Arabidopsis thaliana: one gene and its partners. The protein of the gene in region 1 interacts with the protein of each later gene in a pairwise test. Each region holds a gene or a part of one and is shown in the gene's direction. Other genes may lie near its edges.

Region 1 (9,465 bases):
GAGGCGGGCGTTGGAAAGTCCACTGGGAAGCCTCTACATTTCAAAGGATCATCTTTCCATCGGGTTATCAAAGGATTCATGGCTCAGGTATGTATGCATTATTCTTTTGCAACCCTGTAATGTCCTTCACTGACATATAATTTGTTTTTGTATGCATTTGATGGTTCGCAAACTCTTTATTCATTAGCGCTTCTCTTTCTTGCAGGGTGGTGATTTTTCCAATGGGAATGGTATTCTTCAAACCTGTTATCCTTTATACATTAAATCTCCAAACCGTATATATTTCTTTATATCACAATATGTGTGATGTAGATACCTCATGATCTAGTTTTTAGTTTAATTAACACACAAGGAGCTTAGTATATATGTTTATAGAATGAAATTGGTTACTAGGGAAAAGCGTATTGGGGTCCCTTTTTCATCTCTGAGACAACTTCTGGATGAAGTCTTTCTTGCTGTAATGCCTTAATTAGAGATAATCTCTCTGGTTGATTTGCAGGCACTGGTGGGGAGAGCATCTATGGTGGGAAGTTTTCAGGTATAATTTTGGTTTCTCTGTTTACGGCTTTCTGGTATTGATTTTTTTTTTCTCAATATCCCGTTATCCTTTTACAGATGAGAACTTTAGATTGGACCATGATGGAGCTGGAGTCCTTTCAATGGCAAATTGTGGCCCAAATACCAACGGGTCCCAATTTTTTATACTTTTTAAACGCCAACCACATCTTGATGGGTAATCTCTGTTCCTAGATTTTGTTGTTTTGAGAAATTCAAAGTTCATTGTAAAGGACTCTCAAAACGTTTAATGCATTTGGAAGGAAGCATGTTAAGGGTCCTGATTTTCCTTATCCTCATATTGTAGGAAGCATGTTGTATTTGGCAAAGTCGTTGAAGGGATGGCAGTAATCAAGAAAATGGAACTTGTGGGGACGAGTGATGGGAAACCTACTAGCCCAGTCAAAATAATAGACTGTGGTGAAACGTCTCAGATAAGAGCACATGATGCTGCTGAAAGAGAAAAAGGTAATGAAGTTAATCTTTGAATGTGGAGTTTCTATAATAATGATGGAGTTTCTAGAATAATGATGCAGATATATTTAATGTTTATTAGGGAAATCGAAAAAATCAAACAAGAACTTTTCTCCTGGTGACGTATCTGACCGTGAAGCTAAGGAGACACGCAAAAAAGAATCTAACGAGAAAAGGATAAAACGAAAAAGAAGATACTCTTCGTCAGATTCATATAGCTCAAGTTCCGACTCAGATTCAGATTCGGAATCAGAAGCATATTCATCTTCCTCCTATGAGTCTAGTTCTTCCAGTGATGGGAAGCATAGGAAGAGGAAGTCAACAACAAGACACAAAGGCCGACGCGGGGAAAGAAAGAGTAAAGGACGAAGCGGGAAAAAGAAAGCTCGGCCAGATAGAAAACCAAGCACGAATAGTTCAAGTGACACGGAGAGTAGCAGCAGTTCTGATGATGAGAAAGTGGGCCACAAAGCCATAAAGTCAGTGAAAGTTGATAACGCTGATCAACACGCCAACTTGGATGACTCAGTGAAATCAAGGTTTATCTCCCTGGCTTTATGTATTTCAGCTTTGCTTCTGCAATTTGGTGGTCTGATTTTGTGGTCACTGACAAACTTTGCCATTTTCTATTGCTATACAGGAGCAGGAGCCCAATTCGTAGGAGAAACCAAAACAGCAGGAGCAAAAGTCCTAGTAGGAGCCCTGTGAGAGTTCTTGGAAATGGAAACAGAAGTCCTAGTAGGAGCCCTGTGAGAGATCTTGGAAATGGAAGCAGAAGTCCTCGTGAGAAGCCAACAGAGGAAACTGTGGGGAAATCTTTCAGAAGCCCATCTCCAAGTGGTGTGCCCAAGCGCATCCGAAAGGGGCGTGGGTTCACCGAACGCTATTCCTTTGCTCGGAAGTACCATACTCCTTCTCCTGAGCGTTCTCCTCCTAGACATTGGCCTGACAGAAGAAACTTTCAGGATAGGAACAGGGATAGGTAACTTAATCTATACATACATACAACAAAGGACGATAGCTCTGCGGATAGTACTAAAGCCTCATTTTGTTTAATTATGTAGGTATCCGAGCAACAGAAGTTACTCTGAGCGCTCACCGAGGGGACGCTTTAGAAGCCCACCCAGAAGAAGGAGCCCTCCAAGGTTCGCTTTCTTATCTCTGTACAGATTCTGGCTTTGGCTTGGGACGATATAGCTTGTAAACCAGCACCTAGAGCCACTTGCATTAGATTTATATCCTAGAACGACCCTTTTTGTGATATTATTTTGGTTAAGCAAAACATTCTAATTGAATGCTGAAAGTTGAAAAGAGCAACTTTATAGCAATGTTGGATGTCCTCTGAAATTGAGTGTTGTCTTGCATAGGTACAACCGGAGGAGAAGGAGCACTTCTCGGAGTCCAGATGGGTACCGTAGACGATTGAGAGACGGAAGCAGGAGCCAGAGTCCGAGGCATCGTAGCCGTAGCCAGAGCCCTAGAAAGAGGCAGCCAATTAGCCAAGACCTGAAATCCCGTCTCGGGCCACAGAGATCCCCCATCAGAGGAGGACGCACCTCTCCTGCAGAATCACTCAGCCCTTCTCACTCACCTTCTCCACCAGGAAAGAGAGGTCTGGTTAGCTATGCGGATTGATGGTCACTCTCATCCATTGGTTTCTCTGCTGACTTGCGAGTTTTTGTTTTAATTTCCGTGTTTTAGTGCAAGCAATAATAGGTAATGATATTTTTTATGTTGGTCGGATATATAATACTCTACCTTAGTTGCATTATTACAGATCGTGGAACATTGATCAAATTGAGACTGATATATGTTGGCAGAATTGAGTTTGGGAATCGAAGTTTGTAGAAAATTTATCGAACAAGTAGCATAGATATCTCAACATGAAAATCTAGTAATACATGTAAAGAAAGAAGGTTAATGATATTCCGCATGTTCATAGATAGGACTCGAATCTTTCTTTACCACAAGAGGGGTTTACAATGATACAATGATCATGTCCTAGAAGAGAAGGATCAGATGGGTTGGTCTTTGGGAACGATCTGATCCTTGATCCACATGTAGATAGGGATTAACACAAACCAGGCAGCTGCTAGAGTTCCCAGGAGGAAGCGTCCCAAGAAGGAGAAGGGGTTGTTGACAGGCTTCTCTACGTCCTCTTCCTTTGGACCAAGCTGCAGCATTTGAGTGATAAGTTTAGTGTATCAAAGAGAGAAGAAAGTAAAAAAGGTGAAGTGGGAGGTAAAAGACCTGGAGAGGAGAGTCACCGGAGGCAGGTTTAACACCAGTGACAGAACATCCCATGATAAGGCCGTGCCTGCGAACACCACGGTACCACTTGGGGCCAATCCTCTTGAGCTGAACGTCCTTGAAACCGGCATTCTTGAACCACTCAATGTACTCTTCCTCCTTGGGGAAGAGCATCCAGACATCAGAAAAGAAGCGAGAGAGCCAGAAGGTTGGGTAGACAGGGCCGATGAGACACGCTTTGCCACCGATCTTGAGAACCCTGTACGCTTCCCTTATTCCCCTCTGCGGGTCCGGCCAGTACTCAATGCTGTGTGATGATGAGACACACAATCAAACCCACCGGAAAGAAGACGATTATAAGAAGAAGAAGAAGAAGAAGAAGAAGAAGAAGAAAAGGATACCTTCCAGCAGAAACGTATCTGTCAGCATAATCGGTTGGAAAAGGAAGATCCTCAGCATCTCCCTCGACGATCTTGCATTCTTTCAACGGCTCCTTTTGCTTTGCTTTGGCCAGCTGATGTGGCGACTGGTCCAGAATGGTCACATTCTTGGCCTTCACTGTCTTGACTATGCCCAGAGTAGTGAAACCAGTTCCGCCGCCGACATCGACCACTCGCATGTCCGGATGGCTGAGATCCGCTGGCTCAAGAGCGTCGTCTCTCATATCCTCGGTCCAATGCCCAGGATTGATGACATGGTCGTATACGATGGATAAGAACCTGTAGAACCAGTAAGCCTCCTTCTTGTGCTGAATGAACCTAGGTTGCGCCGATGGCCGGGAAGACGACACGCTGCTGCTGCTGCATCTAGTAGCCACCGAGAGTCTAGGTGTGGAGGTTCGGGTAACTGAGAGTAAGGTCGGCCGAGGAATCGATCTGGCATGCAAATTGGAACCAGGGGAACCTAAACCTTTGGGGAAGGTAATGGCCCCGTTGAGCATCAAAGAGGCCATCGATGACAGATCCACCAAGTTGAGAAGAGGGAAGAAGAAGCTTATCTATCACCAATTCTCCGCCAATCAAAAACACAAACGAGAATGAGAGTGTGACTAAACCCTCTAACTCTAACAGAGTCAGTACTGACTCCAACCACATGTTTATGTACGGTCACGTTGTTTGTTGCGACAACACATATCCCTTTGTTGAGCCCATGGGCTCATTTGCAAGAATTGGCCCAAATAATAGTATTGGGCGTTTTGGCATTTTTCTGCAAATGGAAGGGAAAAGTCGATTTGAGTCAGAGAGAGAGAGACTTCGACGACAATTCAAACTTGTACGGACTAAGACCAGACTCTCTCTGACGTTGTCAGATCTGCGACCTGCTAGCGAGAGGATGCGAGAGGAAACTGTGGTTTACGAGCAGGAGGAGTCTGTTTCTCACGGCGGGGGCAAGCACAGGATCCTTGCAGAGCTTGCCCGCGTTGAACAGGAAGTCGCTTTCTTGGAGGTAGCTAAACTAACTCGTATCTCTTTCAAATTCCGACGTAGGTCTCTCGTGGATAGCTCAATTATCCTTTTTAGATCAATTGTTACAACAATTAGGTAAAGGTCGCTAAGATTGTTTCCTGTGAAAGCAAAAACCAGTATGGCAGATCTGTTCCAATCAGAAGAGCATGGTAGTTCTCTTGACAATAAGTGGCACCATTTCAGTCAGTCTTGTTTATGACTCTATGAATTGTATTCCCAAAATCTAAATCTGCTGGGTTCTCTTTGGATCCACTATTGGAATGGTTCTCTGTTGATCTTATTCTTAGGGATGTGCAAGAATACTTTTGATCATAGTCCAATTAGTATCATTCTCTCTTGGTTATCATCTATCGAGGCATGTTAAAAGTTAACCTTCTCCCAAGTTTCTCTGTTGCACAGATAATGTGTTTGCCTATTGTTCCTACTAGTGAGCTCTAACACTTACTAAAAATAGCTTTACTCTCTCTTTCTGTTTCATGTACTATATCCAGAAAGAGTTGAAGGAGGTCGAGAACACAGATATTGTATCAACCGTGTGTGAGGAGTAAGTATGGGATACTCAACCTATGTTTTTTTTTAACGCTTGCAAGCAACTGTGTGCTAGCTCCTGTAGGTATATTATCTGGATTTGACTGAAACTTGTACGTTGATTGGTGATCAAATTGATATTCCCTTGGTTCGCAGGCTGCTATCTGTCATCGAGAAAGGACCCGATCCTCTGTTGCCACTGTGAGTGCTTTTTAAACCTTGAAACTCTAGTGTTGGTTTGGACTGAATAACTGATGGATGTTGTGGTGCTGGCAGAACCAATGGACCTTTGAACTTAGGATGGGACCGGTGGTTTGAAGGACCAAATGGAGGAGAAGGCTGCAGATGCTTAATACTTTGATTCGCTAGACAGAGTAATGTGTTACATATACTAGTTTCTTGCTAGGATATCATTTTACATGGGATCCAAAATGGGGCTGTAGCAGAGAAAAAGCGTACAGATTAATGAGCATTGGAATTGCATAGAACGGCTTAGTTGCACCTACGTAAACAGTATTATATGTATATGTAATGTATGGGATCCGGATCTGACATACGAGTAATGGAGTTTCAGGCTTACAGCTTCTCATCTTCTTATTCTAGATCTTGTTGAAAGAAGCTGAAATGTGCATAGTGATATTTGGGGGCTAATAGAGTAATAGCTAATGAGGAAGTGGGTACAATCTTGAAGACCGTTAAGTGTGTCTCTCTTTTTTCTTTTTAGATAACTTTTGGCCACATCCACCCTCCATGATACACACACGCTAGTTTCGAGGATCAGAATACATACATACCTATGTTTATTATATAGATAGAACGATAATGGAACACAGAGCACATGCCTCATCTGTTGTCTTTTTATTATTACTTATTACTCTTCTCCTCCACTTCTGTATTATTACAGTCTGTTAAAGTAGAACCCCCTTTTGTTTTTTTCTTTCTATGTCTCAAAAATTAAAACAAGTTATGAGGTTTAAAAAAAAAATTGAGAAATGTAGAGGGTATTAGTAGAAGTGATTTACGGTAAGTTTATTCGACAGCTAAAAAGATAGTTTATGCATTCCAAAATATTCCTCAAATTTGTGATGAGTAAACAAATACTGGTAAGGTGGGTTTTCTGACAACCTTTGGATATACAGTAGTATGTCATCTGTTTTCATTGCCTCATTGGTCAAGATCAAAGTTGATGACCTCATTAGAGCTCCTTCTTCTCCCATAAATAAAAAAAAATTGATCAAAGTTTGTAGTATGAATTTGTTATATAAACAGAAGAGAAATTAACACAGAGATGTGAGTTGGTCCAAAAGAAAAATGATTGAGCAGCCGGAAGAAGCACGTTACAACATCTGCAGCATATCTGGTCAGAGAGAGTACAGAAATATTGGGGATTCAAACAATTCACCTCGTGATGAAACCTGAACATTGAAACATGCATTATAGCCTCACTCACATGCTCACATAATGCCAAACCCTTTTTCTCTGTTCCCGCCTTGCTTTTTTTTTTCGTGGCAATAGAATACAATACATTGGTTGGGTGATTAAATAAAGAGAATGACTAGGATAAGTAAGTTAGCCGTTAAAGTTGTAAATCTCGAGTAAGTGAAGTGGTCCGTTTTTATGAAACTCATAAAAACGAAAGTCCCATGTCCCTAAAACACTAGTAGAATGTGGTAACGTATCTTCTTCACATTCACGTTTTCATATGGGAAACGAATGAAATAAACAATGCAAAACGCAATAACTTAATTAGAATCTTGAACTGGCCGATAAGTGCAACCGTAACGGAAAGCAGAGGCAGAGAGAGAAGAGAGAAGAGGGAGAGAGCTGCCTTGGGAATAGATAGAAAGAGAGCGTATCAACGGTGGTCATTACTTTATGATGGCATTCCCAACTTTGAAACTGCCACGTCGATGTCGGTCAACAGCGGGGTCCATATCTCCTCATCTTCCGTTCCATATTTTTTCCACGTGGCATTTTTCTTTCCTCTTGAAACAAGAATTCAGAATTGAATCGTAAACTCTGAACTAGAGTAAGTAAATAATGTATTGACTAGAAGAAGAAGTAAGTAGTACGGGCTGGGTAAGTAAAGATAATAAATATGCGGGGTTTGATCTTTACTTATTTATTAGGACTCAAACTTAGCCATTATTAACTCAAAAATCAAAATTACTCCTAAAACAAGCAGATAGGAAAAAACACAAATAAATAAAAAAAAGGAAATTGAATGCAGAGTTGTCAGAGTGTATTTAAAAAAGAAAAAAAAAGCACGTTAGGAGGAGTATCCTTTAGACTAGAGTAAGGGAGTGGGTGCTTTAAAGAAGCAGAGAAGCGGGAGAAGAGTGTGCAGCAGCAACAGCCAACAGAAGAAAATGGCAAAAGAGAAAGATCTGGAGAAGCAAATCGGCGGTTGCATGGCCGGCTTCTTCAACATCTTCGATCGCCCCAGTCTCCTCTCTCCTAATAAGCGTCTCTCTTCCTCTCCGGTAACTTGTCTATCTCTCTTTCCCTCTTCTCCTGTTCCTAGAGGGATGCAATGAATTGACTTACCAACAAAACAACAATGTCTGTGTTTCTCCAGAGCGCTGAATCTGAATCTGCCTCGGGTAGGACGAATCAGCAGAGTGTGTACTCTACCCCTGAGCTACGCTCTCCTGCGCCGGCTCAACAAAGATCTTCTTCTTCTTCTTCTTCTTCCTCTAGGCCTTGGAGGTTCTCTAAAGAAGCTCCGAGGCTCTCCCTCGATAGCAGAGCCGTCGTGGATGCCAAGGGCTGCCTCAAACACAGACAGATCCGAGCCGATGCGGTTGAGGCTGAGAACCAGCGCGGCTCACCCAGTGTGATCGCACGGCTCATGGGATTGGAGCCATTTCCCCAACAGCCTCTCCAGAGATCTGCATCCGAGTCCAGGGTCACCAGAGACTACATATTTGACTTTCACGATGACAAGGGAGCAGCTCAAGATCCGGCTCCAATTAGGAACGCCCGAGCCCACCCAACCTCAGTAGTACGCCGAAAGAGTTTCTTTGATTCCGGTGATTTCTTCCCGAGAGTTTCCAAAATGAGTGGATTTGACGCTCCCCCGACCGATCTGGAAACCCTCAAGCAGCTTCTCGAAGCTCTTAGGCTCAAAGGACTCTTGCACTCGTCTTCACTCAAACATCAGAGCAGGAATCTCGTCTTCGACCATCATTCTCCGATCAAACCAGTGAGGCGGGATCGCATTTCCCCGAGCGTCAATAGGAGGAGACCAAGACCAACGCTCAAGGAACAGAGGAGAGTCTCTTCACTCCCTTGGCGGAGACCAGAACCTCTCCAGACGAGGATTGAAGACCAGAGTAGCACTCTAGCCGAGGAAGAGGTACCTCATTCATTACTCGACATTTTATCTATCAAAAAGGCAGCTAATGAAATACAAATTCTGTAAGCAGATGTGGAAAGTGGATGTGTATAACAGACAAGGCAAAACCTTATTGGAGAGATGCGACAAGCTGCTCCACAGCATTGCTGAAATGGCCGCTGCTGAGGCCGGAGACTCACAACCGAGCCCCGTCTCTGTTCTTGACGCCTCAATTTACCACGAGGACTCTTCTCCGTCCCCCGTCCTGAAACGCACCCTTGACTTTGCTGATGCTGAAGAAGACGAATCCTGGGGTGGCTCAATATTATCATCGTCCGACTCTGAATATGTATACATCTCGGACATCCTCCGAGCCTCAGATTGCCTTCCACAAGAGTCCGACAGCTTCTCCTTTCTGGAAAAGCAGCAATACCTCAAAGGAAAATGCGCCTCCAGAGCCGCAGCTCAGGAAAGACGCCTCATCTTCGACGCAGTGCAAGAGATTGTGGCGCGGAGAAGGAGCTTGCCCCCGTGGATGATGGTAGGAGAGGCTGATAATAAGATGCAAGTGATCTGGTCTGAATTTCAGAAGATAAGAGACAAAAAGTCGTCCACGGAGGAAGATGACCTTGTGGGATACGTGTGCGGGGTCCTCGGAAGAGATTTGTCGGAGGACCGATGGCGAGATTTTCAGGTGGAGATGTCAGAAGCAGTTCTTGACGTCGAACGCCTCATATTCAAAGATCTCATCGGCGAGACCATACGCCAGTTGGCTTTTCTTAACAGGTCCGACTCGCTGCGTAGGAGGCTGCTCTTTTGATATAAAACTAGACTAAATTCTCTGACCCAAGTCTG
Region 2 (11,020 bases), on another chromosome or scaffold:
TGTCTGAGATTCGCAATGTTCTCGGCGGAGGTTAAAGAGGATTGGAGAGAGGCGGCGTTAGCGAGATCAACACAAGCATTCCAGAGGCGAAAGCTGAGTTTCCATATGGTAAGCTTGAAGGAGTTATCGGGAAAAGGAGCAAGTTGACTCAGCCGAGTTAGGAATTGTCTAAGAGAAATAGGGAGAGATTGAGGTAGCGGCTGATCTTTGGAAATGGCTTCAGATTGTTGGATTAAGAGCTCGATCTCGGAGAGAAGAGGATGGTGAGTGTGTGAATCGGTTTCCCGGTGATGTAACCGGAGGTCCGGCGTGGTGATCTCGGCGATTCTCATTTCGATTGTTGGCGGGAGATTTCAGAGAGAGAATTGGGAATTTCGAAGGACCGAGTCTGAGAGAATAAGATATTTTCGAAATTCAAATTAGGGTTAGTATTGTAATTTACACCTCCTGTGTAGGTTAAGGAAAAATAATAAAATACAACATTAAAGATATAATAATTAATAAGAAAATCTGAGTATTTTTTTGTTTTTTGTTTTGAGTAGGGTTGATCCTTAAAAATACTAAAACCATCCGTACACAACAACAACATCAAAGGGAAAGAGAACTAAGGAGAGGAGTTAAAAAAGAGCTGCCACAAGTTAACACCAAAGGGGAGTCACAGTCACAGTCACATTTTACCATTCACCTTTTTTTATCACTAGTGAAAGTAAGGAGGAGGAGGAGGAGCCTGGTACTGATAGCAGTTCGCGTAGAAGTTCCCATGTGCAGGAGCAGGATTGAACGTGTAAGTCTGAGGAGGAGGAGGTGGTGGAGGTTGTGCTGCCATGATTGGACCGCTAAGGAACGGTCTGTTGTCATAGACATACTGCGGATACCTTTCAGGGATGACTCTACCGTATCCTGTCTTGTTGTTGTTGATGTTGTTGTTGTTGTCAGTGACTCGGGGTTGAGCACCACGTGGTCGTTTTGGCTGAGGTTTCATGGGTTCTGTTGCTCTCTTTTTGTCCGCTTTGGCTTTCTCGAGCTGGAGAATCCGTTTGTGAAGTGGCTCAACTGGGTACTGCTCTTCCAGGCTATGCTCTTCGATACACTTTATAACGGTTTTGAGGCCTATAAGCTCCCGCTCATTGAACTCATCCTGCATTGGTACACACATAATAATGTACAACAATATGAGACTGATCCTGCATCAGCAAGTACTATGATATACGCCTAAAGTAATTGATAATGAAAGCATCGGTTTTCAGTTTCAAATGGTGTTAGAAGTCTGGAGTAAAATATGACAGCTAACTGAACAGAGCTCAGGAATGTTCCAGCGAGGTAAGATTTACTTTTTCAAATAGCCAGATGCTCGAGAAAAGGTAACGAGTTCAATAAAAGATAAGATCACTCGTTCTAGGCAAAATGCATTAATATAGCCCTTCATTTTCACCAACAAGGTAATCTATAACTGCAAGTTATCAAGTCAGGGAACACTTGCCTGAACAGCAGGAGATGCATTGCCAGGTCTGCCTTGGGGGGAAGATCGCCTTGCCTCTATCAAGTAAGATTTCAGTAATGAGACAGGTGAGAACTGTTCTGTGAGTTCAAACGCAAATGCCAAGTTAACCGCATCAATCTGTTTTCCACTGTTCACGAGAACTTCAATCACACCTGGAATAAAAGGAGCAGTGCACATTAAAGATAAGATCAAGGGATAAGGTAGAGAATCTGGGTGTAAACTAAACAAGGAAAAACACAGATATCCACCATGTTTAGGCCCTTGACCAGAGACCCTATCACTCACTAAATAGTTACTATCAAACATCAACTTTCCTATCGAAATGTCATAACCTGTAAGATAATCAGCCATATACTAAAAGTTAAGAGAACAAACCAGGCATTTTTTCAGCTAATCCAAGTGAACGGCAGAGCTCAGCTGCCTGACGGCGACGTGAAACCATGGGGATCAGCTTTAAGAGTTCATCTTCTTTAAAATCAGCAACAATAGCAAAAGTGGCCAGCAGTTGCAGGAATGCATGAGCCTCCAAAGAATTACCATTGCAAGCATCCATGTCAAGAGATTCCAGCAGTGGATTCCATCCTTCTGCAATAGTTTTGGCTCTATGCTTAACATTTTGTGAGAGAACAACAGCAAGGCAGTTGCGGTCCAGACCAGATAACAGTATGCTAAGGCACTCCATCAACATGATACAGGTTCTGCGCATGCCCAAGAGGTTAGCGTCTTTTTTTCCATCAGCAGTTGGTGCCTCCATAGGGTAAAACCCTTCCAAAGAGTCCAACACTAAGCTGGCTGGGTTTGCTGCAGCCCTGAACGCCATAGGAATCTCCTCCTTTAGTGATGCAAGGTTCTTGCGGTTATCTGATACAAACTTATGGAGACCCGTTGAGTCCATATCCCCGCACAGTTTCAGTAACTGTGGATAAGCCTTCACCTCATAATTTCCCATCACAGGTGAGATCTGAACATCTTGCACAATACCATCCGGATTATCATCGGTAATACTATCAGCAGCAAAGACATTGGATGAATCCTCTACAGCATTTTGTGGCCAACGTTCACCAACAGAAGGTTTACTGACAGGAGCGTTGTTATACTTATCCAAAGCACTGTTTATAGTAAACATAGCTGCGTCTCTCTTCTTCTGAAGCCTTTCAAGCGCCGCCTTCTCCTTAGCCTCAACAGCTGCCTTCTTTTTCTCCAACAGTTCTTGAGCTTTCCTTGTTTTGGTTTCATACTCTTTTTCTTGATCTTCAAGCTCATGAAACCTTCTCTTCAAAGACCTCTCAAGCCCATGAAAATGCTCCTCAAGTTCCTTCCACTTCAGATTAAGTGTTACAGCACGCTGACTTTCAAGTTCAGCAAACGCCTTCTGAAGCTGCTGAATCTTGGATGATGTAGAGTCCATGAGTGAAGCAACTGACCGAGTATCCTCCATCACAAAAGAGCCTAAATAAAACGGAAATTTAAGTAATGATTAAAAAGTCCCGAACAAATAAAAACAAACATGAGTACAACGACATTAGAGGCCAGACACAATATTGTTACCAATTCAAACAAGTCCAATCTCCAAGCTGCGAATAGAGAGCTCCACGAAATCTCGATCCTTGAACAACAAACAACTACAAAAAAAAAAATCATCAAGAACAGATAAACAAAGATCAGTCAAAACTATCCAATGACAATATCACTCGTTAAAGATAAAAACAAATTAGCTCTGTAACAAGACCGTACAAGTCATAGTGGACAACTATGTAAGAAAATGGCCTACAAGGCAAGTAAAGACAAATGAACAAGAAACCCCCAAAAAAATGAATCCATTCAAGAAAAATTCACACTATTTTTTAGTCACAAAGATAATTCAACCTCAAGAACTAATCAGACGTACTTATAAAAAAATTAGCTGAAATAATACAAATACAGATTAAGAGAAGAGTAGATGACGAAATGAGAGTAGAAACAAGCAAGCTGATTCAGTGATTCTATGAAATCCCAGCTTAATCCATCACATAAACAAACTTCACGACCAAAATTCAAGGTCATAGCAGAAATTTTGAGCTATATTGTGGAGAAATCAACAAACCCTAGCTACAGTGAAGAGAACACGAACATGAACTCAAAACAAAAAAAAAGTATATACCTCAAGAGAAGATAAAAAAAAAGCAACTTTACCAGGAAAATCAAACGAAGTAAAAACCCGTAAGAAGAAGAGATCAAAAAACTTCAAGAAGGACCACATGATCGTAGATCCATGGTGAAGAGCGATCGAGAGAAATCGAGGTTAGGCAGAGAGAGAGAGAGAGAGAAGAGGAAAGTGAAATCCCTAAAAAGGAAAGAGGAAAGTAGAAGAGAGGCAAAATAAAAGGAAGCAAAGCGATTTATAACAGACACTTTATTAAGCACACCCAATTTTACTTAGTTGGCACGTGAGAGAGACTGGTGTGGTTTAATGGCTCGTTCTTCACTATCATATCTGGTTCGGACCAGACAGCTTATGTGGCTCTAGTCAAACCCTTTAAAGTTTGCGTCACGTGAGTTTGTCTGAAACTGCCGGGAACTTGTAATTTACTCTTTCCTCCTTTTTTTCTATTAATTGGTATATTCACCATCTATGTGTATCAATCACTCTTTAAATTCCTTAACTTTTTTTACCAAACACCCAATCTTTTTAACCTGTTGACGAAGCTTTGGCTTCATGCTTAAGGCTATGTTATAATGGGGAAAAAACTAGATTGCACAATCTTTCATAGACTGATATTCTTCATCGGATGTTTCGATCATATAAATTGTCTCCAAGGATGAAACTATGTGTCTAATTTTTTTGAATGCAAAATTTATATATGATTGTTTTCTTAATAAGAGCAACAATGAAAATATAGTTTGGTTATACATTGGTATTTGTCAAAGAGGAAAGACTAAACCAAGAGTAAATAAATCTTACAACTTCCCAAATTGTTGGAATTCTACAATTGTATTATATATGGTGAATGATTTGGTACAAAACATTACAAATATCAAATGAATTTCGAAGTTGGTTCAGGTCACGAATGGCGGATTTGGCTTGGGAGAGACTAGAGGTTGTGATTCGTGGTTTATCTCCTCTCTAAAATCGTTATGTTACAAACTGACTATCAAGGATAATCATATCAATCAAGATAATGAAGAGAATCAATATCGTCAATCACGTTAATTGCTCATAATCATTGTATACAATATTAAGTTTCCTTCAGTAGCTTTCTAGTCTTTGTATATAAACACTCTGTAATCATCTTGTTTCATATATTCGATATACTCTTAGTCTACATGGTATTAGAGTCTCTGTATATAAACACTCTGTAAAATTTCTAAAATCGTTATGTTACAAACTGACAATACATAAACAACACGAATTAACATTTTGGGGTGTTTGCTGAACCGTGGTTGGCGGGTACATCTGCTAAATGAACAAGCTTTTTATATATATATATATATATATAACTGTCAACCCATAATTTAAAGATTCCAACAACAACAAAATAAGTACTACTCCTAATAAGTATTTAAATATGTGACATGATATTCAATTTTTGTGATACAAATTATTATGCATTGGTATTTGTCAAAAACTAATACCAAGAAAACATTTCTTGTAAATGTCATATTCCATTCTTTGATTTGGTCAAAACACCAAAACCATTTACAAAATATCCAGAATTATCTAAAAACGAATGAAAAGCGAAAAATACCAAATGGAAGAAAAATTTGTCCATCTCCTAACAAACAAGATAATATATATGATGATGTTGAAAAGTCAAAAAGAGAAGAAAGAAAAAAAAAACATTTAACGCGCAAAGACCGATTTGGTTTTTGTTGGGAGTCATTGCGTTCTCATCATCAGTGTCTCTCTTTTCTTTGCCCCATTCTTCACGAACTTTCACTAGACGACGACGACGATCCAAAGTCCCAGTCAACTCACTCACAAAGACGACTCCTTTATTAAATTATTCCCAACTCCTTTCTTCATCATCATCATCATCATCATTCATAACCACTTAGCCACAGATGCGATTTTCTTCTCCTTCTTCATTGTGCTCTTCAACACTTATGAACAAGAGCACCACCACCACGACAACGACGACTACAAAGACCAAAGCTTTCGTTTTGTGTTTCTGATTTTGATTCGTAAGTTGTTGTAAATTTTTCTAAGTCAACTTCAATTTTAAAGATCGCTTTAGTCTTTTTGATTCGCTGGCGATAATCCAATTTTCGTTGTTGCTAATAAAGTTTTGATTTTTTTTTATTTGCTTACAGGATTTTGATGCTCATCGAAGAGAACCCTTGATTTTGTTGCTGTAGTTCATAGAGATTTTACACATTTTGTGGAATTTAGTGGATTTATGATGATGGGTAGGTTAGTTTTTGTAATCTGGCTCTATAATTGTCTCTGTTTGCTGCTACTCTCGAGCTTGGTTGACGCGGATCAGGCCAACATAGATTGCTTAAGGACCTTTAAATCTCAAGTAGAGGATCCAAATAGATATTTATCGACTTGGGTTTTTGGCAACGAGACTGCTGGTTATATCTGCAAGTTCAGTGGTGTGACTTGTTGGCATGATGATGAGAATAGGGTTTTGAGTATTAAGCTATCTGGTTATGGTCTTAGAGGAGTGTTTCCTCCTGCGGTTAAGCTATGTGCTGATCTCACTGGTTTAGATCTTTCTAGAAACAACTTCTCTGGACCTTTACCAGCCAACATTAGCACCTTGATTCCACTTGTTACGATTCTAGACCTCTCCTACAATAGCTTCTCTGGTGAAATCCCTATGTTGATCTCCAACATTACCTTTTTGAACACTCTTATGCTTCAGCATAACCAGTTCACGGGTACTCTTCCTCCCCAGCTAGCGCAACTTGGACGGCTCAAAACATTCTCTGTGTCTGACAATCGTCTCGTTGGTCCTATCCCAAATTTCAACCAAACCTTGCAGTTTAAGCAGGAATTGTTTGCTAATAACCTGGATCTGTGTGGTAAGCCTCTAGATGACTGTAAGAGTGCTTCTAGCTCTCGTGGTAAAGTTGTTATTATAGCGGCAGTTGGTGGACTGACTGCAGCAGCATTAGTCGTTGGGGTTGTTTTGTTCTTCTATTTCCGTAAATTGGGTGCTGTTCGGAAGAAGCAGGATGATCCTGAAGGAAACAGATGGGCAAAGAGCTTGAAAGGACAGAAAGGTGTTAAGGTAAAAACATCATTGATTTGAATTTTGCTGTATGTGGTTATGTTCTAAATTTATGATATATGTTTGGTGCTTTTGTGAATGTTCAGGTTTTCATGTTTAAGAAATCGGTTTCAAAGATGAAATTAAGCGATCTTATGAAGGCAACAGAGGAATTCAAGAAAGATAATATCATTGCAACAGGAAGAACAGGAACTATGTACAAAGGTAGGCTTGAAGACGGGTCTCTACTTATGATAAAGAGGTTGCAGGATTCTCAACGCTCTGAGAAAGAGTTTGATGCAGAGATGAAGACTTTGGGCTCTGTTAAAAACAGAAACTTAGTCCCTCTCTTGGGCTATTGTGTTGCCAATAAGGAGAGGCTTCTAATGTATGAGTACATGGCAAACGGTTACCTTTATGATCAGTTACATCCTGCAGATGAAGAATCCTTCAAGCCCTTGGATTGGCCTTCAAGGCTGAAAATCGCGATTGGGACGGCAAAAGGATTGGCATGGCTTCATCATAGCTGCAACCCGAGAATCATCCATCGCAACATAAGCTCGAAATGCATATTGTTGACTGCAGAGTTTGAGCCAAAGATCTCGGATTTCGGTCTAGCTAGGCTGATGAACCCAATTGATACCCATTTAAGCACATTCGTCAATGGAGAATTTGGGGATTTCGGTTATGTTGCTCCCGAGTATTCAAGAACCATGGTTGCAACTCCAAAAGGAGATGTCTACAGCTTCGGTGTTGTGCTTCTAGAGCTAGTAACGGGCCAAAAAGCAACGAGTGTAACAAAAGTATCTGAAGAAAAAGCTGAGGAAGAAAACTTCAAGGGTAACCTCGTGGAATGGATTACAAAGCTATCAAGTGAATCAAAACTGCAGGAAGCAATCGACAGGTCCTTACTTGGGAACGGTGTGGATGATGAAATCTTCAAAGTACTCAAAGTAGCATGCAACTGCGTTCTACCGGAAATAGCAAAGCAGAGGCCAACCATGTTTGAAGTTTATCAGCTTCTAAGAGCCATTGGAGAGAGCTACAACTTCACCGCCGATGATGATATCTTAATCCCATCTGAATCAGGTGAAGGCGATTTCATTGAAGAGCTCATAGTTGCTCGTTGATCAAGAGGAAGGGTAAGAATTGTGAAACAAACATCTCTAGTCGTAGCAGTCCAAAGATATATATAATGTATAAGTATTGTTTTTATTTTATTTTTGGGTTCTCGTCGTCGATGGTGTGTTGTAATATGATATATTGTTAGATGCACTCTCTTATTACTATGTACTAAGCTTTGGGTGTGTGGTACAGTCACTGTTTTGGTTTTGCCACTACGTCTTTGCTGCCTTATATTTTGCAGCACTAATTTGGTTGAGGAGAATACAGTCATCACGTGGGATATCTTTGAAGACTAACTATGTGCTCGATTTGGACCCACTGACTATGGAGATTTCAACGAAACTCTGTCCGAAATTGGACAAACCACAAATATATTGCAATGACGAATGATTGGGTCAAGAATACCAAATTCAAAATAACTAGACTTAGTCAATTCTTGGTTTTCTTTTTTTTTTGCTTAATTCTCGTCGACAATAATAGAAGAATTAACAAGTGTTCTTACATCACCTTTTCACTTCCAATTTTATAGGAATCCATGATTCCATTTCGTTAGCTCCTTGATGTAAAATTTCTATTTAAGGACACCAAAACAAATATACAAAGCAAAGATTAAATTTTCTACAAAAACTTCTTCTTTTAAAGTTTAATTGAGACCGCATTAGGTTTCCATGCAGCTGAATGAAAACATACATGTACCGATTAACCATGAAGTTTCGTGCACTCGGCTTAGTTCTTCTATTAGCAGTGGAGACTTGCAAAGCTGAAGAGATTACGTGCGAAGAGACCAAGCCATTCACATGTAACCAAACTGATCGTTTCAACAGAAAACATTTCGATGATGACTTCATCTTCGGTGTTGCATCTTCTGCTTACCAGGCATGCAACAGATCACATATTCTCCCAATTTTGACGTAAAAAACAATTCACTAACACTAAATTCCAACGTTGCATGGTTGTTTTGTTTCACTTCAGATAGAAGGTGGAAAAGGCCGTGGCCTTAACGTTTGGGATGGCTTCACTCACCGATATCCAGGTTTGTCGTTTGCATGGTTGATATATAAAGGCTTACATATTTATACGAGAGAAGTGTCGGTACGTTATCTCTCTATACATTCATAGTAATGTCTTTGTACGCTACCAGAGAAAGGAGGACCCGATTTAGGGAATGGAGACAGCACTTGTGGATCATATGAGCACTGGCAGGTTAATACGTGTGGAATTACTGAATTTAGTCACTGAATTTTTATCAACTACGTGTGGAATTTACATGTGATTATTTGTATTACTACAGAAAGATATAGACGTAATGACCGAACTCGGGGTTGACGGCTATAGATTCTCGCTTGCTTGGTCAAGAATCGCTCCAAGTATGTACACATTAATCCATGCATGTATATATGAATATATATTGTTTGTCGTAAAAATAAATCTACGATCTATATGAGCAGGAGGAAAGGTGAAGAGGGGAATCAAACCAAGCAGGTGTTAAGTACTATAACGATCTCATAGATGGCCTCCTAGCAAAGAATATAACTCCTTTTGTTACCCTCTTCCATTGGGACCTTCCTCAAGTTCTGCAAGATGAATATGAAGGTTTCTTGAACCATGAGATCATGTATGTTATCGATGCCATGCTACTTCTTAATAAATATGACAACATATAAAAGATTTGATCTCGCATTAACGAAATGATTCTATAATATGAGCAGAGACGATTTCAAAGATTACGCGAATCTATGTTTCAAGATATTCGGTGATAGGGTTAAGAAGTGGATCACGATCAACCAACTCTATACCGTTCCTACTAGAGGTTATGCAATGGGAACAGATGCACCGGGTCGATGTTCTTATTGGCTTAATAAAGATTGTTACGCCGGAGATTCTGGAAGAACCTTATATCGTTGCACATAACCAGCTTCTTGCTCATGCCAAAGTCGTCCATCTTTACCGGAAAAAATATAAGGTGAGTTCTCTGGTTGAAAAAGATATAATCTGACATCTGATTCTAGATAATTTTATATATATATATGCAATGCTTCCTCACAACAGCCAAAACAAAGAGGACAGATTGGAGTTGTGATGATTACTAGATGGTTTGTTCCATATGATAGCACTCAAGCCAACATAGATGCGACTGAGAGGAACAAAGAATTCTTCTTGGGATGGTATATCTCTCAATATATCCAAAAATAAATAATAGATGTACATTTATAGAAACTTATTAAGGCATGTGTATAAAATAGGTTCATGGAGCCACTAACAAAAGGTAAATACCCTGATATCATGAGAAAACTTGTGGGTCGACGCCTTCCAAAGTTCAATAAGAAAGAAGCCAAACTTGTAAAGGGTTCATATGATTTTCTTGGTATCAACTACTACCAAACTCAGTATGTCTATGCCATTCCCGCAAATCCTCCGAATAGACTCACCGTCCTGAATGACTCGCTCTCAGCATTCTCATGTACATCTATATCTATATTGCTATTTAGTTACAACTTTTCTTTACAAATACTATCTTCTTAATTTGTTTACAATATTTTGTGACCATCCCATTACTTTATCTTTGTGTTTACAGATGAAAATAAAGATGGTCCCATAGGTCCATGGGTATGCATGCATGATCCATCCCTATATTTCATTATTTTTAAGAAAAAGATAACATACATAAATATACTTGGGATTTATCTATGTTTCCCTTTCTCAGTTCAATGCAGATAGTTATTACCATCCAAGAGGAATTTTAAACGTGTTGGAGCACTTCAAAACTAAATACGGAAACCCATTAGTCTATATCACTGAGAACGGTGAGTTACTTATCCTTGTAATTATATTTTTTTTCTCTTTATGCATGTTTAGTTAATTTATTTCTAAATCGGTCCAAGAAATCGACTCATTTGTGTAACTGGTAACGATGGTCTAACTAGGATATAGTAGCCCCGGTGGTGACACACCCGCCCTTGATGTTATAGCTGATTCCAACAGGACTGATTATATATGCAGTCATCTCTGTTTTCTCCGTTAGGCCATCAAGTGAGTGGATTCTACTCGTCTTCCTATCTTCTTCTACTTAATTTTTATATATATGTATATGGATGTATGATCAACAAGAAAATTGTCTCTAATGATTGTTCCTGTTTTTAGGGAGTCTGGTTGCAATGTGAAAGGATACTTTGCTTGGTGTCTTGGGGATAATTATGAA
Region 3 (11,955 bases), on another chromosome or scaffold:
GTCGCCGTCGATACACTCTGCAAGAAAATGTACGAGTGCATTGAGAATGACTTACTCGGATCTCTCCAACTTGGCATCCACAACATCTCACCTTACAGATCGAAGGGAATCGAACAAGCAGCTCAGTTTTATGCTTCCTGGAATTCCAAAGATGCTGACAAATTCCAACCTTTGGATAGTGGTACAAGCGGTAATCAACTCTCGGTGAACGATGATCATTGTATTCTAGTAACGAATCAATGAATCAAAATCCTAATGAGTGATAAATATTTTTATACAGGAGTGACATCGAGGCCTGAGCAAGCTTCAGGATCAAGGAGCTCGGAAGACACCATTTGCTCATCTTCACAGAAACGTCCCAAAAAAGAAGGAAGTTTCTTAAACAACAAAGTCACTTTATTGGATTTGAACTTGCCAGCTGATTTCGTCGACCAGAACTGAACTCAAATCCTCTCTTGCTTAGTCCAAATGAGATATGATGACATAGCAAAAGGTGTTTGACTATATATCTATCACCTTCAAGACTCGTGACTCTGGACTGATTAATTTGTCTTTCTTATAGTTTTTCTGGTTTTCGTACAACTATAATTATGACTACCCCTTACTTTTGCTTCTTTAGTTATAGATCTTTAATTCAGCCTCTTTAAACTCTGCTGCTTCTCAATGTCTATGATGTCAAAAGAGTTATTTTATTAGTAACTAATTTAATAACTAAAAACATTTGTATTTACCGGTATAGCTTCTAGTTGTTATCTCATTTTCTGATTTGATCCCAAGTATAGAGAAGTAACCCACAAATTGTAATAAATTACGGTTAAGACAAAAGAAGTAAAGAAACTGGTCTGAACTTATTATCATGAGTTTGCGTTCGCTTTTTTTTTTTTTTTGAGTAATTAAGCAAAAGAAAGGAGCTTTGTGTTTTGTCATTGGAGTGGCCAAATATATCAAACTTTCAGAATCTGTGCTCGTTCGTACAGTACCCATCAGATGCTACTTCCAGCTTTTTCCCTCTTTCAAATAAAAATAAAACTCACTGCTTTCTTTGCCTCAAAAAGTATCAGGATGATAAAATGTTGGTTAAATGTTGAATTAGTATTAGGATGATTACCTAAGGAAGGGGATTACTGCTTGATAAAAATGGTTTTCTTCAACAATAAGTACTTTCTTTTGGTATAAATGGCATCTAGTCTTATATACACATCACCGCAAAAAAAAAATTGGTTTTTTTTTTCAAGAGCCCACTAAATAAAAACAAATAATTGAATTAAGTTTGCAAAGGATTATACATTATTAAGTTGTTAATGCTAAGATGCAACTTATAGCAAGAACAAAAGAACGATTTGCAATAGTAAACGCCAATTTAATGGAGATAAGTATAAATAGTTAGCAATTGATAGATAGTGGAATCATGCCTAAACAATTTGCCTAATCTTTTCAAGTGGTGTATAGTCTTCTTGATATGTAAGTATATGTTTAATTATAATTCGTTATCAAGAATATTTGTCTGGATATATCAAGTGTTGTGGCCTTGCGGGACAAGGACAACAAATGCTCGACAATATTGTACATATATAAGTATTTATCTTTTTAACCAAACCAAAAAAAAATGGTATTTTAGGCAGTAAAGCTATGTGAAATGAGTTATGGAGGAGATTTAAGTACCTTTCGGCTTGCGTGCCTAATATTCCAATGTATCTGAACTCAGATGCATTTTACAAAGGACGTTCTAATTCAATGTAATAGAGAGTACATGTAAAGCCCACGGAAAAGAAAACATTCGATGCATGGATATAGTTTAGGATTAATCATAGAAGCTTCCTCTATTAACAACCACGTGTGAAGCACCCCTATCACATATCACAAATGACCAATCTTTTGGATATTTCGTGTCTGTATATATAAGTTTGCATTTATAAGATCAATTCTCGCAACCCCATAAACAATTCCTCAAGAGCCGTTGACAAACCAAAAAACTTGTTAATTAAAAGTCAATATTTGCTCTAGACCCTCCAATTTTCCGTAAAAATCTCCATAAAAGTCTCTGTCCCTCCTTGCCAACCAAAAACTACAAACACACATCATCCTTCGACTATCTTATTCATAGCTATCACCACCCAAAAAAGAAATCACCCTAATCAAAAAAAAAAAGGCAAGGAGAGATTTTATCATTATTCTATTTTCATATTTTTTGAAAAAACTCAAGCAATTGACTTTTGTGATAAAGATTTGAAGAAAGAGATGAGGAACGAAACGGGTGGTACCATGGTCGTTGATCTCCAAACCGATCCATATAACAACATTCACAGTCGCCATAATCTGAGCTACGACCTTAGCGAGGGTCCCAAACCTAGGCCTAAATTTGGTAATATCTCGAAAACTGACCACGACGAGATATTCCCTCCCGACGATCCCATCATTATCAACAGCAACGTGACTCACCAGCGGTTTAGCAGCGTCTCGGCCTCGACCATGAGCAGCGGTCCGGCCAGCGGAGAAGGTTCTCCTTGCGTAATGTCGCCTTGGGCCCGCGTGTCGCCTCCTTGGGGTGCAGATTTCAACGAAGACAATGTCCTCGAGACCAACGGTCTCATTGGATCTATTGTTAGAAAAGAAGGGCATATATACTCGCTAGCCGCTTCTGGTGACCTTCTCTACACGGGCTCGGATTCGAAGAACATTAGGGTTTGGAAGAATTTGAAGGAACACGCTGGGTTTAAATCCAGTAGTGGGCTAATCAAGGCCATTGTGATATTCGGAGACCGAATCTTTACCGGCCATCAAGACGGGAAGATCCGGATTTGGAAGGTTTCGAAGAGAAAACCAGGAAAACATAAGCGGGTTGGAACATTGCCAACATTTAAATCAATGGTCAAGAGCTCCGTCAACCCTAAGCATTTCATGGAGGTACGCCGCAACAGAAACTCTGTGAAGACGAAGCATAACGACGCAGTGTCTAGTCTTAGCTTGGACGTGGAGCTTGGATTGTTGTACTCGAGTTCTTGGGACACGACAATCAAAGTGTGGAGAATCGCGGATTCAAAATGTTTGGAATCGATACATGCACACGATGACGCGATAAACTCTGTAATGTCCGGTTTTGATGACTTGGTGTTCACGGGATCCGCAGATGGTACTGTTAAAGTGTGGAAACGTGAGTTGCAAGGCAAAGGAACAAAACATACGTTAGCTCAAGTTTTGCTCAAGCAAGAAAATGCGGTCACGGCGTTGGCCGTAAAATCACAATCTTCCATCGTATATTGCGGTTCTTCGGACGGGCTAGTGAACTATTGGGAGCGTTCAAAGCGGTCATTCACAGGCGGAATACTCAAAGGCCACAAATCCGCAGTGCTTTGTCTAGGTATAGCGGGGAACTTGCTGTTGAGTGGTTCCGCCGACAAGAACATATGCGTATGGAGGCGGGACCCGTCTGACAAGTCCCATCAGTGTCTCTCTGTTTTGACGGGACACATGGGGCCGGTCAAGTGCCTAGCCGTGGAGGAGGAACGGGCTTGTCATCAGGGAGCAAAAGCCTCAGTGGCCGAGGGAGACCGGAAGTGGATTATATACAGCGGAAGTTTGGACAAGTCGGTGAAAGTGTGGCGCGTGTCGGAGAGAATGGCCACGTGGAAGGAGATGGACGAGCCAGCAGCATCTTCAGAGCGGAAGAGCTCTTCGTCTCCGCATGAAGGAAGTGGCGCGTGGAGTTCACGCAATGTGGAAAAATAAGAGTGGAGGAGCATAGTGTGATTATTTACGAGAGTGTCACGTCGTCACGAGAGCCATATTCACGCCGGGAAAGAGACAGAGGATTGATTTCATTTTTATGACTAAGTCAACGGAGAGGTTTGTGCCACGCTAGCTGGTGTGAGAATCAAAGTCGGGTTAATGGTTTTCACGTAATGAGTTTTTTGGTTATTTTTTTCTTTAAAAAAAATGTTTGAAACGAAATTGAATTATTTATTTATTTTCCATAAATTTGTAAGATAACAAGAACAAAGACCGAATCAAACATATATATTTGTTTTCTTTAGTGGTCTATGTCGTGGTTGCAACTTTATAACTTGGAATTTTGGATGAGTCGTTTTCCTCTTCATTAGAATTAGTCTTTCTATATTATTATAATATAGGATGTTGATATTTTTTAATTGATTTTCCAACCTGGAAATATCCACCCAAAGTTGTTAGAAATTACTAATCTTTGTGAATTTACTGTTACCATTTAAACCTAATCTATCTTTATGAGCAAAAAAAAAAAAGTCTTATTCAATCACTTAACCGAAAACATTTCCACAACCGGGATCATCATATATGTCTCTGCGCCTCTCTTTGATAAATACTTAAATAGGGTCAACACCTCCGGTTTTCTATTAACCGTGTAATTCGGGTTATGCGAACATTATTGCAGGACCGAAGATATATTTACGAAATTGCCCTCTCTCTTTGACTCCATCAACGCCTTTCGCAACGCATCGTTTTCAACTCCCCTAACCCGCGTTGACGGCAAGAATTTTCCCGGAAAATAACTCATTTTTCCTTTTGATTGCAGAGAAAATAAAAAACAAAGAGAAAGTCTTCCCCTTTTTTTGTCAAGTCCTCGTCTTTTACTAGTGTATACGATCCAACCCATCTTTCTGTCTTTCTTCTTTTTGTTTACTTCTTCTGCAAATTCCCTTTTCCCGGAAAATTTATTTGCTGATTTTTCTTCCTTCCATCGCCACTTTCCTGGAAAAAAAAACTAAATTTCGTCTCTTTCTTTAAGCTAAAGGAGCTTTCTGTGATCAATTTTTTCTATATTTCTGTAGTTGCGTTCTTATTTCACGCGCTTTGTGATTTGATTATTTAAGCCACTAATGGCTTAGGATCTGTATATTATCACTTCATGAATTCTCGTTTTCTCGGATAAGTTGTTAAGTTTCTAAATTAGGGAATTTTAGGAATTAGGGCTTTTTTGGGTTTGTATGTGTGCTTGATTGGGTAAGAAGATGGCTGCAGTTATAAGAAAGTTATTACCTTTCCCATCACCGAATCCTAAAAGGGATAATCGAGAAAGTGACGATGATGATGAAACAAGTAGTGGCTATCGAATCGAATATTCATTCGCCAGTGAGTATAAAGGTCCTCTTATTGCTAATGTGCCACGAGCTCTTCCCGTTGAAGTTGATCAGATTCCTACGGCTCTTCCCGTTTCCTTTTCTTCCTTGCGGAGTGGTATCTCTTACCCAGTGGCACCTCTCGTTATGACTAAGGATACCAAGAGACCACCTGATTCTGGAATAGAGAAGAAGAACGGTTTCGTTGACTCTGCAGCTGGTTCTAGTGTGGTTTTGATAGGGCGTGATGTTGTTTCTGGCTCATCATCATCATCATCATCAAAGAGGTTGGATGTACCAGAAGAAGTGAAAAGTCCTGCTGATTTTCGGTTATCACCATCATCACCATTGTCTGCATCAGCGAGAGAGGAGGATCACTTAGATGATGACAGAGTTTCGGATGTGGGACCTAGAGCAGTGAGATTCGTTGAACCTTTTCAGAGTAGTGAATGTGATGAGAGCTCCTATGTTTCTGATGGAGAAAGTATAGCTGCAACGCATAGAGCTGAAAGGAAAGGTAAAAGAGGATCGTGTTACCGGTGCCAGTTGGGGAACCGGTTTACTGAGAAGGAAGTCTGTATTGTCTGCGATGCCAAATACTGTTTCAACTGTGTGCGCAGAGCCATGGGTGCGATGCCCGAAGGAAGAAAGTGTCAAGCTTGCATTGGTTATAGGATTGATGAGTCCAAGAGAGCAAGTCTCGGAAAGTGTTCAAGAATGCTCAAGCGCCATCTCACGGATTCTGAACTTCGACAAGTCATGAATGCCGAGATCACCTGCAAGGCGAATCAATTGCCTTCACGACTTATCATTGTCAATGACAAGCCTTTAAGTGAAGATGAGCTTTACACGTTGCAGACATGTCCAAATCCACCCAAGAAGCTAAAACCCGGACACTATTGGTATGATAAGGTTGCTGGCTACTGGGGAAAGGTACAGTTTCTTATATATGTCTGCGTATCTATTATCGGGATTGTATTTTGAGTGCTCAGCTAAATCAGAGCCTCTATGTGTTTATTTAATCAGATAGGAGAGAAACCTAGTCAGATTATAAGTCCTAACAACAGCATAGGAGGATACATCAGTGAGAAAGTAAGCAATGGAGACACTGAAATTTATATTAATGGCCGGGAAATAACCAAGCCAGAGCTCACGATGCTCAAGGTTCTTTTGCTTTTCACCTTTGTTTTGGATAACAAATATGCTTAGTGTATGTGTCATTGTTCTGAACTGAGCGCTTCTTTGCTTTGATGTAGTGGGCGGGGGTGCAATGTGAAGGAAAACCTCATTTTTGGGTCGATTCAGATGGTTCTTACCGAGAAGAAGGTCAAAAGCATCCCATCGGGAACATCTGGAGTAAGGTATGGTTTCCTGATCACCAGCTTTTCTCGTTCACAACATTAAATATAAAACTAAAGACAACGAAGGATATTATTTTTACAGAAGAGAGCAAAAATTGCTTGCGCTGTGTTCTCTCTGCCAGTTCCTCCGGCTTCGTCTGCAGTAGAACCATATGATGTGCCCTTATATGAGCAGAAGATGCTTAACAAGCTTCTTTTGATTGGTAGCGAAAAAGGTGGCGCCACTACAATTTACAAACAAGTGAGCTATTCATCTTAATGCCTCCCACTTGAATGTTTCACATCTAGTAAAGAATCGGGAATTGACTTCTTCTGTTTCAGGCAAGGTCTCTCTACAACGTCTCATTCTCTTTAGAAGACCGTGAAAGAATCAAATTCATAATCCAAACAAATCTCTATACCTATCTGGCAATGGTTCTTGAGGCACATGAAAGATTTGAAAAAGAGATGAGCAATGACCAGTCTTCAGGTAATTATTATTGACTGTACAAACTATTAGAATAAGAATGCATTCATATTCTAATACAAACATCAGTTAACAATTGATTATTGAGGAAGACTGATCGAGTTCTTGGGATTTAGGCAATGTGGGAGATGAAACCAGTGCAAAACCAGGTAACTCGATCAACCCGAGACTAAAACATTTTTCAGATTGGGTTTTGAAAGAAAAGGAAGACGGAAACCTGAAGATATTTCCACCATCAAGCCGTGAGAATGCTCAAACCGTTGCAGATCTCTGGAGAGTACCAGCTATTCAAGCCACCTACAAAAGACTTCGCGATACACTTCCCAGGAACGCCGTTTATTTTCTTGAAAGAGTAAGTTTACATCAAGTTGCCTGCTTGCATATATAAACGCTCTTTCAGGACCTTAACACTTTTGTTTAAGGGGAAAAAGATGACTGACCCAAATTTGTTTCTTCTCAGATTCTTGAGATCTCGAGATCAGAATACGATCCTTCTGATATGGACATATTGCAAGCGGAAGGACTCTCCTCTATGGAAGGACTTTCTTGTGTGGACTTCTCATTCCCATCAACTTCTCAAGAAGAGTCTCTTGAGAGCGATTATCAACATGATACAGACATGAAGTTAGTTCTGTTCTTTTTCCTTGTGTTGCATTCCGGCTATATGAAAAACCGTTGAACTTACCCTCTCTCTCTCTCTCTCTCTCTCTCTCTCTCTCTCTCTCTCTTTAGGTACCAACTCATCCGGCTAAATCCGAGAAGCCTTGGTGAAAACTGGAAATTGCTGGAAATGTTTGAAGACGCTGACTTGGTGATATTTTGTGTCTCACTAACAGACTATGCAGAAAACATAGAAGACGGTGAGGGGAATATTGTGAACAAGATGCTTGCAACCAAACAGCTTTTCGAGAACATGGTGACTCACCCGAGCCTAGCTAACAAAAGGTTTCTTTTGGTTCTAACCAAATTTGATCTCCTAGAAGAAAAGATCGAAGAGGTTCCTCTAAGAACCTGTGAGTGGTTTGAAGACTTCAACCCATTGATCAGCCAGAACCAGACGAGCAGACACAACCCTCCAATGGCTCAGCGTGCTTTCCATTACATTGGATATAAGTTCAAGAGACTCTATGACTCAATCTTGGAACCCGTAAATATGCGTGGAAGGAGCTTTAAGCCAAAATTGTTTGTTTGTCAAGTGAGCTTGGAGAGTGATACTGTGGACAATGCACTGAGGTATGCGAGAGAGATTCTCAAGTGGCATGTTGAAGAAACTTCCATGTTCCAAGAGATGTCTACTACTAGCATAGAGGCCAGCTCGTCCTCTTGATATTTTTTCCTAAAATTCTTTCTTTCTTTGTGGAAATTACATAAGTTTGTTTCTCTCTCTGTGTGTATGTTTGTTGTATATGTAGTAGTGTGAAGATACATTCATGTGATTGATTTTTCAGGGGAAAAAAAATAGAGAAATAATAAAGTGAATTTTCCCGGTTTAACAGACATTTACTTATACGGTTATTGAGGTTGAACTGGACCGGAGTAGCAATAAATTATCGGTTCAGTTTGGGAGATCAAACCGTTTAAAAGAAAATAATTTGAAATGGCCACGCAGAATACGAGGGTCTGAGGATTGTACCTCCTTTCTCTGCAAAAACTTAAACGTTGATTTGACTCAAGCGTCAAGGTAAGGTACTCTCTCTTCATACAACATTTTAGCTTTACTTTTTCTCTTTACTCTTCTCTCTCTCTTTCTCTTTCTCTTTCTCTTTCACTCGTTCTCTCTCACTCACTCTCTTCACACACAGATCCAAGATGGCCTCTTCAATGGCTAGCAATGATTTCCAGCTCCCTCCACGTTTCTTCACTGTTTTCGTCTCCCATTTCAGCTCAGAGTTCATGGTAAGATTTTCTCTCGAGGTTTCTTCTTTCAGGTTTATCTGTTCATGAGCAAACGATTCTTGAACTGGGTAGATTCTCTTAGCCTAGTGGTTTCTTTGAACTATGTCTGATGGTTTTTATGAAACAAACACTGTGTTTATCTGCATTTAGCTTCCTCTATAGATTTTGCTTTTTCTGTTTCTAGGGTTTTGCTCTTATTCCTACCCTTTGGTTTCCTTTTTCTGACTAAAGATTTAAACTTTCTGTATGAATCAGCTTAATTTATGGACTTAACACTGGATATGTTTGGTTACTGGAACTAAATTTCATCAAAGTATAAAGTAGTTTTGCTCAGATTTTGTTTTCTTTTTCTGTTGATGAATAGAAACATTTGTTCTGCTTCTAAATGCTGAAAGATATAAAATTTTGAGACTGGATGCTTTGATTTTGTCTGGTTCTGGAAAGTTGACTCTTTTAACTGTCCCTACGCTTTTGGTTGAAACCAAATCTTGTTGTGTGTGGAAAGCCTCTTTAATGACTCTCTCCGACTTACCTTAAAGTTATCTTGTTTTTTTTGTGTCTTTACTTATCTATTGAGTGTTTGGCTTATAAGTTAAACAATTTTTCTGTGAAATGAGCAGGTGATCCCAGTTTCCTACTACGATCACATTCCACATCGTTTCCCCAAGACTGTGATTCTCCGAGGACCTGGTGGATGCTCCTGGAAGGTAGCGACGGAGATAAAGGATGATGAAGTGCTTTTTTCACAAGGATGGCCCAAATTTGTTCGGGATAATACTCTTAACGATGGAGACTTTTTGACCTTTGCCTATAATGGAGCTCACATATTCGAGGTCAGTATCTTTCGCGGCTACGACGCATGTAAAGAGATTAGCGAAGTCACTGAATTGGAAGAGGAAGAAGAAGACAGTGTTATATCTCTGAGCAGTGAAGACACAGACACTGGTGCTAAATCTGAGATGAAGAATACAGTCCCGGAAGGCAGAGACAAAGGTTCATTGTTAGCTTTTTTTCCCATCACTTGCTTTTATGTGATTTTGCTTGTTTTGACTTTTGAGATTTTTGTTTGCAGGAAAGTCAAAAGTGGAAGTTGTGGAGGATTCTGATGACGATGAGGAGGAGGATAGTGTTTATTCTGAAAGCAGTGAAGAAACAGAGACAGACACTGATTCTGAATTCAAGGTGGCCAAGCCAACAATACCAAAAAGCCAGAAGAAAGGTTTTAAACTCATCGTTAGCTCATTGCATAACTTGAATTGTTTCTTTATGTGATTGTTTTATATATTGACAATCATGTCTTCTTTGTTGAGATGTTTTCAGGAAAGAAGAAAGAACAAGTTGTGGAGTCCTCTGATGACGAGGAAGACGAAGAGGAGGACAGTGACAGTGATTACATTGAAACGTTTGGTCAATTGGATATTGAAGAGAATTCCATCAGTGAGGAGGACAGTTCTTATGCTCCTGATAAAGAAGACACAGCCACTGCCTCTTTTGTCAAACCAAAGGTTGCAAATAAGGTTGCTAATCTGAAGAGGAAAGGTAAAATACATTTACTTTCATCACTTTTAACTTCATTTCTTCCATGCTTATCTTAATGCAACATTGCTTTGTCTATGGAACCAGAGGCGGCAAAGAAGAGGAAGAAAGGTAATCACATTGTTGTCTTAATTAGTTCCATCACTTCATTATGTAATTGATTTTTGAGATGCTAATGCTTTTGTCTCTTGAGATTCTTACAGTCGATCCCATGATCAAGAATCCTGAGAGATACCTCGATGATCCTAAGAATATCCATTTCGAGACAAACGTGAAGAATAGGTTATACGAGCTGGTAAGAACTGCAACTTCTTGTCCTCATATACTACTACTCTTTTTAACTTAAAGATTGTTTTCATTAACGTTCTTGTCTGCTTTGTGTACGTATCTTTTTTACAGTTGGTTCATGCACAACTGGTGAAAGACTATTGCTTGAGGTTTGGAGACTATGTTAACTACATCGACAGGTTCGGGAAACTAAGTGCTAAAACAGCCAAATGGAAGGATCAGCGTGTTTGTATCAAAAGATGGATGCGCATATGCAAGAGGAACAAGTTGAAGAAAGAAGACCGCATTTTGTGTGAGCTCTTGCGCAAGGGAACTTTCGTTTACGCAATCAAACTCCATGTCATCCGCGGTAAGGATCTGTAGACGCTAGCAGTATGAGTAGAGGAAGAGATTTGGCTACTTAATTATCTCTCTGATTTCCATCTTGTTGTGTGATCAAGCAAACTTATGTGTTTCATTATTGTCTACTTCAGATTGTATGACCTTCTCTCTTGTTCTCTCATGAATCTATTTCTGAATACAATATCTAATCTTTGAGCTAAAGTTTAACTCTTAAACCCTTGAAAGAGTAAAAATCCTTGAAAAAAAAAAAAAAAAAAAAATCCTTGAAAGAGTAAAAATCAAAGAAAGGTCGAAAACTGTATATTTGTCTTAGCTTTTTCTTTCTACAATCTGTTTTTGGCAAGATTTTCTCTTGAAAATTCTGAAGAATCTAGGTATACTGGTTTCCACGGAATCTCCTGTAACAAAGATCAAAGTAGAAGAAACAGAGGACTCATTCACTAAATATATAACCTTTGAGGAAAACTAAATAAAATATGTACCTTCCTTCTTCATCCTCGTGATATCGCTTGTTGATTTCTCTTAAATGGAAGCTGCTTCACCAGAAGTGAGGAGAAACAAAGAACAAATTAGTGAGAGGAAGTGAGAAATGACCTTGAAAGCTTTGTGACATAATAATTGTGAATTTTGTGATATAAAACAGAGTAGCTACTCTGTTTTTAGTCCAAAAATAGTAACTTCCATTATCAGAGTAAAATATACTAACCAACATAAAGTTTGATTATTTTGAAAACTTTGACTTGGATCATTATTTATTTTATAGTTTACCATGTCGACGTTGGATATTTCTTTTGTGAATTTTTTGGCCTACAAGTTTTTTTTTCAATTCCAGTTTTGTGGGTCCTATCGTCACGTTTTCGAAAACCTCTTCTTTTTAATTGAATGTTTGCTTTCATCTTTACAAAACAGAGCAAGCTACTCTGTTTCGAGTCCAAAAATAGTAACAATCATTATCATAGTAAACATACAACTAAAC

The links.
Region 2: the proteins of GG1 (region 1) and BIR1 interact in a two-hybrid assay, tested with the Arabidopsis thaliana proteins (one study listed by BioGRID).
Region 3: the proteins of GG1 (region 1) and XLG2 come close enough for resonance energy transfer, tested with the Arabidopsis thaliana proteins (one study listed by BioGRID).

What each region holds. Positions count from the first base shown.
Region 1 is NC_003074.8:23,412,772-23,422,236, forward strand, and holds GG1 (Ggamma-subunit 1), read left to right. Parts: upstream 1-4,477; 5' UTR 4,478-4,491; coding exon 4,492-4,725; intron 4,726-5,236; coding exon 5,237-5,289; intron 5,290-5,429; coding exon 5,430-5,474; intron 5,475-5,549; coding exon 5,550-5,634; 3' UTR 5,635-6,210; downstream 6,211-9,465. Other genes in the region: AT3G63400 (Cyclophilin-like peptidyl-prolyl cis-trans isomerase family protein), read left to right, coding at 1-87, 206-230, 500-538, 616-733, 863-1,023, 1,112-1,568, 1,670-2,011, 2,094-2,174 and 1 more; APG1 (S-adenosyl-L-methionine-dependent methyltransferases superfamily protein), read right to left, coding at 3,045-3,203, 3,280-3,586, 3,681-4,231; TRM5 (zinc finger CCCH domain protein), read left to right, coding at 7,643-7,756, 7,852-8,631, 8,702-9,430. UniProt on the Arabidopsis thaliana protein: Guanine nucleotide-binding proteins (G proteins) are involved as a modulator or transducer in various transmembrane signaling systems.
Region 2 is NC_003076.8:19,601,390-19,612,409, reverse strand, and holds BIR1 (BAK1-interacting receptor-like kinase 1), read left to right. Parts: upstream 1-5,262; 5' UTR 5,263-5,662; intron 5,663-5,791; 5' UTR 5,792-5,877; coding exon 5,878-6,717; intron 6,718-6,803; coding exon 6,804-7,826; 3' UTR 7,827-8,321; downstream 8,322-11,020. Other genes in the region: AtSPO22 (Tetratricopeptide repeat (TPR)-like superfamily protein), read right to left, coding at 1-332; AT5G48385 (FRIGIDA-like protein), read right to left, coding at 698-1,138, 1,481-1,653, 1,877-2,939; TGG3 (thioglucoside glucosidase 3), read left to right, coding at 8,527-8,674, 8,798-8,854, 8,963-9,024, 9,113-9,188, 9,286-9,436, 9,531-9,658, 9,711-9,784, 9,871-9,986 and 4 more.
Region 3 is NC_003075.7:16,436,597-16,448,551, forward strand, and holds XLG2 (extra-large GTP-binding protein 2), read left to right. Parts: upstream 1-4,489; 5' UTR 4,490-4,982; coding exon 4,983-6,023; intron 6,024-6,116; coding exon 6,117-6,254; intron 6,255-6,346; coding exon 6,347-6,451; intron 6,452-6,533; coding exon 6,534-6,692; intron 6,693-6,772; coding exon 6,773-6,920; intron 6,921-7,033; coding exon 7,034-7,269; intron 7,270-7,377; coding exon 7,378-7,541; intron 7,542-7,649; coding exon 7,650-8,244; 3' UTR 8,245-8,410; downstream 8,411-11,955. Other genes in the region: ARI1 (RING/U-box superfamily protein), read left to right, coding at 1-190, 281-441; AT4G34380 (Transducin/WD40 repeat-like superfamily protein), read left to right, coding at 2,239-3,726; AT4G34400 (AP2/B3-like transcriptional factor family protein), read left to right, coding at 8,727-8,813, 9,434-9,806, 9,886-10,032, 10,134-10,352, 10,437-10,460, 10,553-10,644, 10,749-11,000. UniProt on the Arabidopsis thaliana protein: Guanine nucleotide-binding proteins (G proteins) are involved as modulators or transducers in various transmembrane signaling systems. Binds GTP with specificity. Plays a role in the root morphogenesis by regulation of the cell proliferation.